2 linked regions of the Rhinolophus ferrumequinum genome follow. The protein of the gene in region 2 interacts with the protein of the main gene of each other region in a pairwise test. Links are inferred from orthologs where the notes say so. Each region holds a gene or a part of one and is shown on either strand. Other genes may lie near its edges.

Region 1 (7,959 bases), on a different chromosome or scaffold from region 2:
TAGTTCCCATCTTTTTTTTTTTTTTTTTTGGTACTTTCTGGAAAATTTCTTCAACTTTATTAGCCTTCTACTGAATGTTTTATTGTTCCTATCATATTCCTATTTTCCAAGAGGTATGAAATGTGATCAGACAATATGATGAATGTTTAAATTAAAAAAACCTTATTCCAGTAAAGGACACATTGCCATTAATCCCCCTCAGAAGACCCCCCCCTCGCTTCAAACACCCTTATCCCATGTTCTTACCACTTTCTGAAGCAGTTCTGGAAGTCCTCTTTCGAGAGTGTCTAGTTGCGCTGTCGTGGCTGCCTCGATGTCCTGAATCATTTTGACTTTGGGGAAGAGCCAGAAGTCACAGATCTCGTGAATAAATTGGATGAGGGCACACCGTAATTTTTTTGTTGGACAGAAATTGCCATACCAGAAGAGAGGTGTTTTTATTTAAACATTTGCTGTATTGTTTGATCACACCTTGTAGTCGGTAGATCACAAATAAGTCACATTCACATTTTGTCTCTGACACACACACACACACACACACACACACACACACACACACACACACGCGCGCGCGCGTGCGCCCTCTGGTGGACAGGAGCAGAACTTCACCTCCAGCTCCTGGGAAGAGGCCTATGGATGCCGAGTGTTCTCACTCGAAGACGCACACAGAGAAGGACCGAAATGAAAACCACAGTAGTTCCTTAGGAAAATTTCCCTAACTTGTCATTTTAGGGACATTTGATTAACTCACGACACCACACAATCCGCAGAGCTCGCTATGGTGGCCAATCCCACACTCGGTAGCTGGCAGATGAGGGGTTTCTCGACTGGTTCCTGTTACTCGCTGTCATTGACAGAATGAAAAATCAGACTTCATTTTTCTTTTTAAATTTTTATTGGGGAATATTGGGGAACAGTGTGTTTTTCCAGGACCCATCAGCTTCACATCAAGTCGTTGTTTTCAATCTAGTTGTGGAGGGCTCAGCTCAGTGGCCCATGTGGGAATCGAACCGGTGACCTGGGTGTCATGAGCACTGCACTCTAACCACTGAGCCAACTGGCCCCACCTCGGGTGGGTTCTTTGCTCTGCGTGATTCCAGGAACACTGCGTTGGTCGTTTGGAGAGTATCAGCGCTCCGAGCCATGCAGATCTTCCCAATGTTAACACATTCCATCCGTCATACAGTGGTTTGTGAAAAATCAGTCTTTAATATCACCGCCCATCGTATGGGAAGAGCCTGCAGGTCTGGGAGGCTGTCGCGCTCACATGGCAGATACGGATACTCTAAGATTTCCATTTTCTCTTGAAAGCTGGAATTTTATAAGTGGCCACAAATATGCTCGGTTGTTTCCCTTGAGAAACCAGGCCCACTTTGTTCATTTTTGAAAAAATATCTACTAATATTCAAGTCCAACTACCTATAGTTTTTCAGTCAGTCATTCTTTCATGTAAAAACGGAAAAGCAGCTGGAAGTGCTATGCTTCACACTTTGGTAGATGGCAGGGAGCTCTGTGCACAGCGACCATATTTACTAGAATAGGATGAGCCCTTTGCTTCCTCGGGGCACCCGTCCATAAACTGGCTTTTCTCCGGAGGGTGCATGGGGGGGCAACGGTGACTGCTGGCGCAGTTTGAGAAGAGACAGGTCTGTCCTGCTAGGCCAGACGCCATCCCATCTCCCGCTCTGGCTGGAGGGTGAATTCATTTCACCCCAGCCTTCTGAGCCCCTTTTGGTCCCCGGACTGTTCCAGTGGTTACCCCCTCAGTGTAGTCCTGTGTCAATGGTACCCTTTCCCCACTGGACCAACAGCGGGTGATCAAAGGGGAGGGTTTTGGGTTGTATTCTCCTACAGCCTGTGACAAGGAGAGAAGAGTTGGGCAGAGGTTGTGACCCATGTCTGCCTGGGAGTCTGTGCTGTGGTGTGGGAGGAACACAAGGAGAGGCCTTCTCTTTCTTGCCCTGAGAGGCAAGTGGCAGCTTCCCCACCCCCTCCCCCCCTGTGGAAAGGGCAGGGGCCCATGGAAGCCCTATCCTGGGAAGGGGGTTTGGAGTTGGGCAGAGGTTATCTCATGCTGGCGGGGGTCCTGAAGGGACTTCATTGGAACCTCTGATGAAGAAGGCCCCTCCTGAGCCGTTCCTCCCCAGACTCCTGCAGAAGAGCTATGGCGTGGGGCAGGAGTGTGAGGTGAGCGGAGAACGAGGGCTGCTGAGGTCTGGGGTTTGGTCAGAGAGGCATGGCGGGGGAGGAGAAAGCGAGCAGGGCCAGGGCCCTTTGTCTGTGTTGGTGCCTGTCCCCTGACATTCCAGGCTCTGGCCTGGACACTGGTGGAGGGGGTGGTCATAGCTCAGGGTGACCTGAGGGGCTAAGTTTAACATCAACAAAGGTCCAGCTGCCCAGCTGTTGTTTCTGTTTCAGTCTGAGAACATTGTTGGAGGGGACAGTTGTTCATCACCGATAACGTCAGCTTGTGGCTGTGACAACACCTCCCTCGGGGAGGGGGCAGCTGGTGCCTGGGCCTTCTGAGCACCTTGCCCCTATACCCTCAGCCATGAGCTCCCCAACCTTATTTCAGGACCCCCAGGGAGCAAGCAAGACGTCCTCCTGAGCCCTGAGAGGCAATTTCCTGTAGAGTCTTTGGTCAGAAGGCTCCTCTCTGTGTTGTCCATTCAGCTATTCAATGAGCATTTATTGAGCACCTACTATGTGTCAGGCACTGTGCCCCTTTTGGTCCCCTGCCTCTGTTCCAGTGGTTACCACCTGGGTGTAGTCCTGTGTCCACAGCGAGCTGGCCGCAGAGAAGAGCACGGAAGCCATAACCGGGCCCTGCTGACGGGGCACGTGCTCTGGGCAGCAGACACACCTGTGGAGACACACCTGTCTCCTGGGGACCTTGAGTGAGTTGCTTCACGTTCTGAGCCCCACTTCCTCTTCGGTGAAGGGGGCTGAGGACGGTGCCTGCGTGGCTCACGTTTGTCAGGCGATTGCCTCGTGCAGACAACCCCGTCTCAGCTCACAGCAGCCTGCTGAGGGGGACTGACTGCTACCCCATTTCACAGGGACAAACGGAGGCTCAGAGCCAGTGTCCCTGGTGGGTGGCAGAGCTTGTGCGACGCACCCTGTGCTGTGTCTCCAGTGCCACTGGCCTTCCTAGTGAGGCCCTTTGTGGCAGAGATTGAGGGGTGACGACTTTTTGGGTCTTTTCTTTGTTCCTTCTGCTCTAGCTCCCCAGCCCCCAGCCTAGCAACTGTGGGGGGCGGCTTCAGATGGGGTTGTGCAAGGCAGAGAGGGGCTGTGCTGGCTGTCACCAAGGCCAGGGCCCCGGCCGTGGGGGGAGGGGAGCCGGGAAGACAGATGCCCCTGCGCCTGGTCACTGGCTAATTTGGGCTCCTTGTTTCTCAGACAATGCCTGGCAGCGGGGCTGACAGGTGCCGGCCACTGAGGGGACAGGCCTGACTCCACAGCTATGGCCTTCTAAGGATTAGCTCTTCCAGCCGGACACATTCTTCCCTATCCTGGGAGGGGACTGTGGGACCTGGGGCAGGGGCCTGGCCCCACTCCGCCCCTGCAGAACTTGAGGAGGATTCCCCCACACACACACATGAGCCTCAGAGTCCGTGAGTCCCTGTGGTTTCTGCAGACGCGTCCTCTGGATGTATTCACGTCTGGACCACATTTTGCTCTTCTCTGTGTCAGTCTCCTCTCTGCTTTTCCTTTTCCAAAAGCAGTATAACCTTGCTCACAATTCATTCTTTTGTGCATATGAAGGTATTGTAAGAAAGTTCTTGCGTAAATTAAAAACATAAGCAATGCCACAAACCCCCGTGGACTCCGCCCCAGCCCCTGAATTCCTTCTCTGACCCCAGATGCGCCTCGGCTGCTGGCGGCCCTTACTTTCCATCCCCGCCCCTCCACCTGGAAGCCTGCGTCCCCGGCCACCACCATGACTTCCCAGACCTTGTCCCTTCTCCCTGGCAGCCTTCCAGAGTGGCGTCTCCCCAGGTTGACCTGACCCGAGCTGCAGTGTCCAGGGGGCAGGGCCTTGGCCCCTCCCTGGGCACGGTGGGGCTGTCGCCTTAGAACACCCGTTGCCAGCTCTCTCCCCCACCACACAGGGCACACGGTGGCATGGCGTGGCTTGCCAGGCCTCTCGCTGGCCTCCAGCGGGTCAGCATCCTGCTTGTCCTGGCCCAGCCGGCGCTCCTGGCCCACGAGGTGGCCGACGATAATAGCCACGGGATTAGCATAGTCGGCCTTGTCCTGCTCTGACTATAGGTGGGTATTATGTGTTCACCCACCATCCTAAAAATACCCCGTAAACAGGTGCAGCCCCGAGGGCACCAGCCCCCTGGGTTCTCTAGCACGCGGCTGGAGACAAAGGGAGGGCGGGAGAGGGGAGTTAAGTTCACTGACATCCAAGCCTGGGACGAGGGGTGCCATTCGGAACCTGGGAAGCCTTGATGCCTGGAACCCCAGCTGGAGAGGGGTGCAGAGCCCCTGCAGGCCCTCAGGCTTCCAGGAGCTGTTGCTGTGGCGTGGGCTCAGCAAAGGACCCTCTCTGCAGCACAGTTACGTCACCCCCGGGCACACGGGCACCAGAGCCACACGGGTCCCCCCCAAAGATCGGGGCGTGGGCTCGCGGCCTGATGTCCATGTCTCCCTGTAAGAGACGGAGGGTCGTGGAGACGTTCCCCGCCCCTCGCCCCTCGGCCCAGTGCCGTCACTGCTCTGGCCCCCTTGCGTCTTACTTCCCATCCTCTCCCCTCTCTGTCTCCCTGACTTGACTCAGGTGCTGGCCTCTCTGTGCACAGGATTTGCGTGTCCTCCTGAGCCTTGTGCACACGTCATCAAGCCCGTGGGCCCATTCCGTGTGCTGCGGTGCCTGCCCTGGGAGCTGTGCAGTGGGAGGGGCAGCGGCTCTGTGCTATTTTTACTGGCAGTTCCCATTGGCCATAGTTTTCATAGCCTCCCGTCAGCGCGGGCCCCAGAGTCTGCAGTCGCCTGCTGGACACCGCCCGCCCAGCTCACGGACACCAAACCAGGTAGGTGTCTGCAGCTCCGAACTTCAGATCCAGGTCAAGCCCAGACCGAGGTGCTAGGCTGGGGTTCCAGGAGAGCACGAGGGCTTGGAGGTGGGAGAAGGCATTTCTTGCCTGTACAATTGGATTTGTTGGCCGTAGAGTCCACGGTGTTATGTCCCATTGGGTGCCGCGTCTCCTGCCCCGAACTTTGCACAAGTTGCTCCAAGGGCCCAGGGCAGAGCCTGCTGGGCTCTGTCTTCACACTGGCAGCCCAGCAAGTCCCAAGAGGAAGAGACCACCTGGGGGAGGAGACGGCATGGGGGATCAAAGGGCAGGGCGGGGCTGCGTGTGGAAATTTAGGAAGAGCCTGGTGGGCAGCAAAAGGGAGCAATGCCTGCATCAGACAGAGAGAAGGTCCTCTGGCAAGCAGGACTCGGGGGCCTGGAAGACTGAACCCCAAGCCCCGCTGACCGCAGACATCTCTTGCTTCTTTTTCTTTGTCTCTGAGGGACGGGCTTGTCTCGCTTTGCCGTCCATCTGGACAGCAGGACAACAGCAGGTGAGGGCGAAGGCCCCCCTCCTCCCACCACTCCTGGCTCTGAGAAGCAGCAGGCAGATGGCGACAGCATCTGGGTTGGGGCATGCGAGTCTGCACACGAGTGCGGGCAGCTTCTGTGCTGGGCTCCGTGGCTGGGGGGGCGGGGGGGGGGGCTCAGGCAGTGCCTGCCAGCAGGTTTGAGATTAGGCTTTCCTGGTCAGAGCTCAAGATGGGTGTGTGGTGTGTGGTCAGCCAGGGAGGACCAGGGTGCCCTGGAACTGGACCCAAGGTCAGGGTGGGGAGCAGCGGGAGGCACACGAGCCTCACTTGAAATGTGTGTCCCCAATGAGCAGTGTGCAGAGAACACACACACACACACACAATCACACTCACACTTATATACGCGGCCTCTGTCCTGTTGGTTCAGTTGATACACCGCCCGCCCCACGGGGCCTCAAAGAAGGACAAGCCCAGCTCTGAGTCAAACCCCGGCCTCCTCTCCCGGCTGTGGGTCTGTGGTTATCTCCTTGCTGGCCCCTTTTGGGGGAGATGGAATGCCGGTCTCCAGCAGCCCATTTGCTGCTATCTACATCCTGACTTCTTATCAGGTCCCTGCTGTCTTCCACAGGACCTGTCAAGGGGTCCTGTCTGGTGGGTATCACAGCACAGGCTGGGGACCCCTTGGCCTGGCATTTGTCAGTGGGGCAGGCCCTGGAGCTTGGCAGGAGGCCTGGACTGGCCTGGGCAGGTGGGCCCCACACTGGTGATGGGGTTTCTGAGGCAGGCCTGAGTATGGCTACATGCCCACCAAAGATGAGGCACATCCTGGGGAAAGAGCCAGGAGGCCCACAGGGCTGAGACCCGGGACCCTTGGGAGGGCAGTGATGATGGATGGACGTCCCCGGGTGGTTCTTCCCCAGCTAGTGTTTCTTTTTTGATTTTCTCAGTATCTCTGGAGGAGCAGAGCCCTCAGAATAAACAGCTGGCGATAAATCTAATTTCAGCCAAGCATGCTGAGAATGTATAGATGGATGGACGCCCACTTCTCCCTCTGTGCCCAGGGTGACAGCTGAGACTCCAGGCCACCCCCCTCTTCTCCAGGCTGCACTCTCCCTGGTGGCAGAGGCAGAGGCAGGGCCCAGAGGGTCTCTGGTGGGAGATTCAGGAGGGAAGCCAGCCCTGCTCCTGGCGGGGCGGTGCTTCTTGGGCACAAAGGGAGAGGTGAGCGTTAAGGCAGAGGCAGGAGGTCACCTGGTCAGGAGGTGGCTCTGGAGTGAAGTTGCTAGAACCACTGCCTGCTCCCAACCAGGTTCTCGGACCAAATCCGGACGGCTGACCTGGTGCCCCGACCCCATGCACACTGGTCCCCACCCGGCCCTCATGACCCAGCGGCGGACTCCTGTCCTGCCCTGCACACCACCCCACGCCCCCCCCCCCCTGTGTCCAGGCCCAGGCAGGATGGCCAGTCAAGTCTGGCCCCACTGCAGCCTCAAAGACCCCCTCCTGGGCTGGGGTCCCCAACAGCCAGGACTAAAGGGTCCTCCCAGAGGAGAGGGCTCCTGTGGTAACCCTGTAACCAGTGCCGTCTGCTCTGGAGGATTGTCTTTTGCTTCCAGGTGACACTCAGTCTGGGCAAAGCTTTAAAGAGCTAAATGTTACGTGGCAAACTTCTCTAAGCCCTAATTTTGCAGAGGAAACGGGCCTGGAGGGGCAGGCTGAGGATCAGGGTAGAACACACTCGGCCTTGCCTCCCTGCTCACCCACTCCACGTGGGGCGTCCTCACGACCTCAGCCCAGACTCCCAGCCATGTGGCTCCCCGGAGACCAGCCCTGGGCACAGTTACACTGCGCGGAGCGTGAACGGCAGCCCCTGGAAAGATGCACAAGTGTTTATCCCACCCTGACCCAGGGGACCCATGCTGTCTGGTTTCTTCTTCCTGTTGCCTGAAGAACACACAGGGTGGGGGTGGGGCTGTAACTGTCCTCATGAATGATTCTCCTGTGCCCCCAGGTGCTGCGCCCACCGCCATGCCGGAAGTGTAAGTGGCCCCGCCCCACGCAGGTCCCCTCACAGCACATTCAGACCCAGAGTTCAGGCTCCATCTGTCCAACCTCCGAAGCCTTTCCCCGAAAGGCCAGACCCGAGAATAGGAACAGCTCCGAGTGCCTGCGTCCCCAGCGTCCCCACGCGTCCTCCCGGCGTCTGAGCAGAACTCACACTCCCAGGTCACCTGGGGAAGACCACCCTGGCCTGTTGTAGACTTTGTCCATCTGCACGGGTCCGATGAATCACGTGTGCCAGGCCGTGATGTAATGCTGGCCCCATGGAGGAACCATCCCCCACAAGCCCAGGGATGGAAGCTTCTCGCTGCAGAACCCCTGGCGAGGCTTCTCTGACCC
Region 2 (6,484 bases):
ACTAAGGACAGGTACTTATCCCTTTTCTGCTTGCTAATAGCCTTCTGGGGCTGGAAAGTTTTCTCTGATGTTTGGGGAAAGGGCCAATGTCCCTGTCCAAGCTCTCAGCCTGCTGGAGGTAAGGAAACTGCTGAGGATGGAAGCTCCAGGGCTAGGCCTGAGGGAGCTTTTGATGAGCCTTGGATCTTCCTACTTCCCACCTTTTTGCCAAATACTTTGGGCCCTGGAAGCTGCTAAGGGAGCTTAGCCCAGGCCCAGCCTGCCCCTCCTTGGTGCAAGTTCCCTGCCTGCTTCTGTCCTGCCCTTAGCAACTGTCACCTAACCCCACCCCACATGGTCTCTGCTGATAGCCACAGCCCAGCCCCCAGTCCTACATGCTGGAGATTTCTGGATCCTTCCCTGGGAGGGGGAGGTCTCCTAACCAGATTGGACAGGAGCCTTCATTTCTTGACTTGGGTCATTTGGGAGCTATTTATTTATTCTTAATATTTAATTTTTAACATCCTCTCAGGGACCAGGGGCCTCCTGCTTTTCAGAGGCCCAAGTGCATTTATCCCAAAACAAGGCACCTTCTTGTCATCTCCCCGCCCCCCGCTCCCCCCATTCCCAAGACCCTAAGGTCCCTCACCTTGTTGCTCTGGAACTTCTTGCCAGTAGAATGATAGTAACACTGAAAGGATGGGAAGGTGGAAGTTGTCACCAAAGCCACATACAGACTAGGAGGAGCAAGGGACATCAAAGGCACTTCTTGTTGCTACCTCTTCTCTGTCTGTACTTTCAAATTGCCGGAGGGGATGGCTAGAAGCCAGAAGTCTGGTTTTGTTTTTGGCTTGAAGTAGCCGTATTTGGCATGGAGTTCACTGGAGTGAAAGGGCTGGAAGGTTTTGGAGGCCCCTTCCCTTGCCAGTCCCACAGGAGGGCTGAGTTATTTTTCTGATCTTGTTACTCAATTTTAGTTGTGTAAAAGAACCTCTAAGTGAGTGCAAGTAGATATATGACAAGTCAACCTGTTAGGAAGGAGCCAAAAAGTACTCATTCTGCTACTCCTTTTGAGATAGCTTAAAGCATCATGTTGGTAGCCGGGAGTGGAAGGCTGTTTTGTTTCTAAACTATGCACTATCGGGTATTTTTCAGCATTCATTTAATGCATTAATATGGTCCTACAGGACCCCAGCTATGGGAGCAACAAAATTCTAACCCAGTTAATTTCTTCTATAAGCTCGTTAAGTTCAATACCCCAAGATTGCAAAAATCTGGTATACACTCCAGAAAACAGAGAGGTAGCAAATTTAGGCTCTTTTCTAAATCACTTGTGTAATCTGAGTGCCTTCACAGCTTTGCCCCAAAGTGCTACTTATGTTTCCCAAGGTTTTTTCTATTTAAATTGTGTTTAGTTTCAGGCCCCTTTATGAACATGTAACAGAAACCTCCTTTGTCTAGAGTGATTCTCCTTTTCTAAGCTCATAGGAGACCAGACCAGGTGAATGTAGGTAGAGTACATCAAGATGACACCTCTCTGTATAAATCCCACCAGACACCGTATTTTAGAAGGGTTCATGTTCCAGGATAGACATATCTAGAATGCAGTGTGAGAGTTAAAAATGTTTAGAGGGCAAATGCAATTGTGGCAAGTAACGTGCCAATTAAGTAGGTGCAGCCATAGCAGCTGGCATAGGTATATTTTTTATGGTGCTTTCTCCCGGTGAACATATTAGGCTCATCTTTTGTTTCTTCTTCTATTCAGAGCTCTTTGCTTTAAGAAGTTAAATGACAAAACATCTCCAGCTTTATAATGTCCTCCCCACACCATCTCACATAGCCATCTCCCAGCCTCCATCTGCACTCAGTTAAGGGCATGAAACTAACTTAGTGCCTGTGTTCCAGACCATTTCTGAGGTCTCTTACCCACCCAAGGAGATAGTGCTTCAGCACTGTCCTCCATGCCTTCAGCAGCCCCCCTCACAGATAATGTACCCACCCATCCCTTCTGCCACCCCATCCCCACCCCTGGCACAGAGGTCGTGTGCTGCTTATGTCTAAAGGTATCCCCTATATTTAACTGCCTCAGTGACCTAACCTCTTTCTTCTCATGTGCCAGATGCTAAGATGAAGGAGGAATACAATACATACTCAAGCCCCAGCTGTTTAAATGTTTTTACTGGGGCTCACTTTTCTCGGATGGTATTTATTACCAGACTGGCAAGCCTAACTCCTTAGGTTTACAGGAAGTATACATATTTTTATAAAACAATTGTATGTCCTCCACATATTTTGCTGTGTTAATATTTGCCTCTAACAATTTGCAGCTGTTTCACCTTTTCCTCATTTGTCTCTAAATTGAAGGCCTTGTTGGAGAGAACAGAGCACAGGAACAGCTTTGACAGTCTGTAATTATTGTACAAATATTTTAATAGCATATAAATAAGTATATTCCTTTTATTTTGGAAAAAAATGAACAGACACTGCCTTTTGTGTGTTTGCTGCCTGTGGCACCCTTTTTAAAAAAGACTGTTACATGTTAAAATAGTGTACATATATATATAAATATTACCTCTTTTGCTGTACAGTTGTGATAGACCAGACGGAAGATTTTATTTTTTGTGTGCTTTTTATATAAAAAAATTAATACACTAAAGAAAATCTTGCTGATGTGATTGTAATGTACCTATGTAACTTATTTACTTTTGAATGTTCTTCTGTATCTTTAAACCTTTTATTACATAAGGTTTTAAAAATTCAGAGTTGAATGATGTGTTCTTTTGGGGAGATTTTCACCATCTGGGATTGACGTAAATAGGCCTTGTTTTGCTTGCAGAGGATTACTCGACATATTTGAACCATAAGGATTCTGTTTTATCAGCCCATTGTCAATGATGCCAGGACTGGACATTAACACATTAGCGTTTTCCTGGCTATAGAAATTACTAAATTGACATGGATTTTTTTAACAAAATGTTAGACAAGTCTCAACCCAGTGTCTCACAAAAACACATGTAAATGTCACATTTCCAACATTCATTGGGATGAAATATGGAGGGTACAGATGTGATCAGGTGGCACAGGGAAGCCTCGGGGCTGAACAGGGTGTTTTCATATGTAACATTGACTGTACGAACGACCTGAGTAGACAAGCCTGCTTTGACGGATGCATTTTCAACAGTATCATCTTAAATCCACTCCAGAAGTATATCACTATCTTAAACACGGTGCTCTGAAAAAAAAAAATCTGGAAAATATTAAAAAGGCAATGCGCCATCAGAGAAACCAGTGCCTGCAGCCCCTGGCTGGCACCATGGCAACCGCTCGACCGCACTGGCCGCCTGAGCGCGCGGATCTCGCGTCGTCTGGGCCACCGTTGCCATGGCTACACAGGAGCTAGCTGGGCCGCGGGGGCGGAGCGGGAGGAAGCCACTCGCCCGGCCGGCCCCGCCTTCCACTGCCGCAGTATCTCCTCGGCTGGCTGCGGGTCCGACTTGGGGGCAGCAGCGGCGCGCAAGCCCGCCACAGCCTGCGCCTCCGTGCCTGTGTCCTCGGTCCTCGGCTGTCCTCGCCGCCCAGAGGGACCCCTGCACCCGCGAAGAAGCCGCTCGCGAACTGGCCCTGCCGCCGCTGCTGCGACCACAGGACAGTCTCCCTCCAGGAGCGGCAGAACCCTCGTCTGCAAAGCAGCCGCCCCTGAGCCGACTGAAGGCCCGGCTCTGATCGCGAACGCCGGCGCGATCAACTCCTGCAGCAGCGACTGCCCGGCGCGCCCGGGCGGCTTAGAGGAGGCGGCCACACCCCCGCGACCACACCCCGGCGGCCTCTCCAGCCCGACAGCTTCAGCCTCCGCCGCCCGCCCTGGCTCCAGGCCTTCTCTTGCAACGCGACACCATATGTGCAGGTGGAGGACCGGGGCCGCGGACCCCGACCTGAGACGCAAGATGGCCGCGGCCGCGTGACTGAGCATTCCAGAGGCTTTGCTGCGAGAACGCGCCGACCACCGACTTTAGGGGGCAGCGAAAGGACGAGAGCGGGACTCTGGTGTCATTTGCTAATTGTGATTGCATGAAGCATATTGGGTGAAAGGGGAGTGTCTGCTGTTGTCCTAAGCCCTAGAGCACAGGGAGCCACAGTCTAAACCGTATTTGTAGGATTGGGCTCTTGATAGTTGGGAAAATGGCGATGACGCTGTTGGAAGACTGGTGCAGGGGGATGGATGTGAACTCCCAGAGAGCCCTGCTGGTGTGGGGGATCCCAGTGAACTGTGATGAGGCTGAAATCGAAGAGACCCTCCAGGCTGCGATGCCCCAGGTGCCCTATCGAGTGCTTGGGAGAATGTTCTGGAGGGAAGAGAATGCGAAAGCAGCCTTGTTAGAGCTCACGGGCGCTGTCGATTACGCGGCCATCCCCAGGGAGATGCCAGGTAAAGGAGGGGTCTGGAAAGTGGTCTTTAAGCCCCCGACTTCCGATGCCGAATTTTTAGAAAGGTTGCACCTCTTTCTAGCGAGAGAGGGGTGGACCGTGCAAGATGTTGCCCGTGTCCTTGGGTTTCAGAATCCTGCTCCGGCCCCAGGCCCAGATATGCCAGCAGAGATGCTAAACTATATTTTGGATAATGTTATTCAGCCTCTTGTTGAGTCCATATGGTACAAGAAGCTGACGCTGTTCTCGGGGAGGGACATCCCGGGGCCTGGGGAGGAGACCTTTGATCCCTGGCTGGAGCACACCAATGAGGTCATAGAGGAGTGGCAGGTGTCTGATGTGGAAAAGAGACGGCGGTTGATGGAGAGTCTTAGGGGCCCTGCCGCTGATGTCATCCGCATCCTCAAGACTAACAACCCTGCGATAACCACCGCCGAATGCCTGAAGGCGCTTGAGCAGGTTTTTGGAAGCGTGGAGAGCTCTAGGGATGCGCAGGTCAGATTTCTGAATACTTACCAGAACCCAGGAGAAAAGTTATCGGCTTACGTCATTCGTCTGGAGCCTCTGCTGCAGAAGGTGGTGGAGAAAGGGGCCATAGATAAAGATAACGTAAACCAGGCCCGCCTGGAGCAGGTCATTGCCGGGGCCAACCACAGCGGGGCCATCCGAAGGCAGCTGTGGCTGACTGGGGCTGCGGAAGGGCCAGCTCCGAACCTCTTCCAGTTGCTGGTGCAGATCCGCGAGGAGGAGGCCAAGGAGGAGGAGGAGGAGGCTGAGGCCGCCCTCCTGCAGTTAGGCCTAGAGGGGCACTTCTGAGCCCCAGGAAACCGAGCTGTAGTGCAGACCTAGATCACAGCGCTTTTGTCTTGTCTGTGCTCTCTTTTACGCGTGTCTTAGTCAAGTCCTGTTTTCTGGGGGGAAGTCGGGTCTGGGTATTCATGCTAACATTAGTAAACTCATGCAAGCGAGCACCTTGAGCGGCCGCAAGTGAGTCCTAGCTAAATGCCCGGTAAAATGCCGGACCCGAGAGCTCAGTGCAAGCTGTCATCGTGGCATCATCAATTGTGAAAAACATGTGAACTTGTGACACTTCTTATCGAGGTACTTAAATTGCATGTTCAGATGTTTAGCCCAGAGCCTGGCTAACACAAGAAGTGTTCAGTGAAAATACGAACTATTGTTACTAATATCGTGAATGGTTTTTGTGTTTACTGTAAATTGTTCCTGATTTATATTAATGGGAAAAATGTGAATTAATTAGATGTTATCATTCCACTTTACAGTGCTAATTATTTTTCATCTTTAAACATCTGGAACAGTATAATTGAAAAGTATTCTGAGACTACAAAATGGGGTGTTAGAAAAATACTGCAGTTACAGAGCTGTGTAAATTAGAAGTTTTCACTGTACAAGATACAGATATAAATCGCATGGGGAGGTTAATATGAACCGGCTAGAGTATCCATTTCAAATCTTTGTCATTGAATAGTTCTTATTCATGCTGATTGTGTTCTAAATTTGAAGTTATCAAATACATGTATACGAATAAAAATATTTAAAAAATTGTATTGTCTGGTTTTTCTGACTTACAAAAATTTCAGTTCAATTAAAGTCTGAATTCTTTTCAGACTTCACCATGTCACTAAAAAAAAAATCGAACCTCAGTTATTTTATCTTTAAGCTTTATATAATAAATACTATGTAAATTTAAACTGCAGTACCTTTTAATGTATTCTATTTTTGCTTGTTTTCTACAAGGCAAATGTTCGGAGGCTCAGTAGATATAAATAAATATTAGCCTATAAAATGTTAGGAAATCCTACAACGGCATTTAGGAGGTTATGTATCAATGCTCTTTCTCCCCTTTTAAGTCCATTTTCAGTTAAAAATGTTTTGCTGCAGGAATTATATGATAACTTCATACCTGTGTAAAATGAATGTCTCAGTTTTACAGCAGCCATTTTATATTGAGGATATAAAAAGGAAAATAAGGCTTAAAAATATGCTTATTTGGCTGCAGAGATTCAGTGACTAAAGATGTCCATCTTTTGAGATCCTACTAAATCCAGAAGTGATTACA

Evidence for each region.
Region 1: the proteins of PNMA1 (region 2) and TNNI1 interact in binary tests that used the Homo sapiens proteins (3 or more experiments, as listed by UniProt). The two-hybrid records come from large-scale screens. The link is inferred for Rhinolophus ferrumequinum from reciprocal best matches to the Homo sapiens genes PNMA1 and TNNI1.

The regions. Positions count from the first base shown.
Region 1 is NC_046310.1:929,082-937,040, forward strand, and holds the start of TNNI1 (troponin I, slow skeletal muscle), read left to right. Parts: upstream 1-4,955; 5' UTR 4,956-5,042; intron 5,043-7,570; 5' UTR 7,571-7,587; coding exon 7,588-7,598; intron 7,599-7,959. UniProt on the Homo sapiens protein: Troponin I is the inhibitory subunit of troponin, the thin filament regulatory complex which confers calcium-sensitivity to striated muscle actomyosin ATPase activity.
Region 2 is NC_046289.1:24,573,703-24,580,186, forward strand, and holds PNMA1 (paraneoplastic antigen Ma1), read left to right. Parts: upstream 1-4,074; 5' UTR 4,075-4,158; coding exon 4,159-5,220; 3' UTR 5,221-5,970; downstream 5,971-6,484.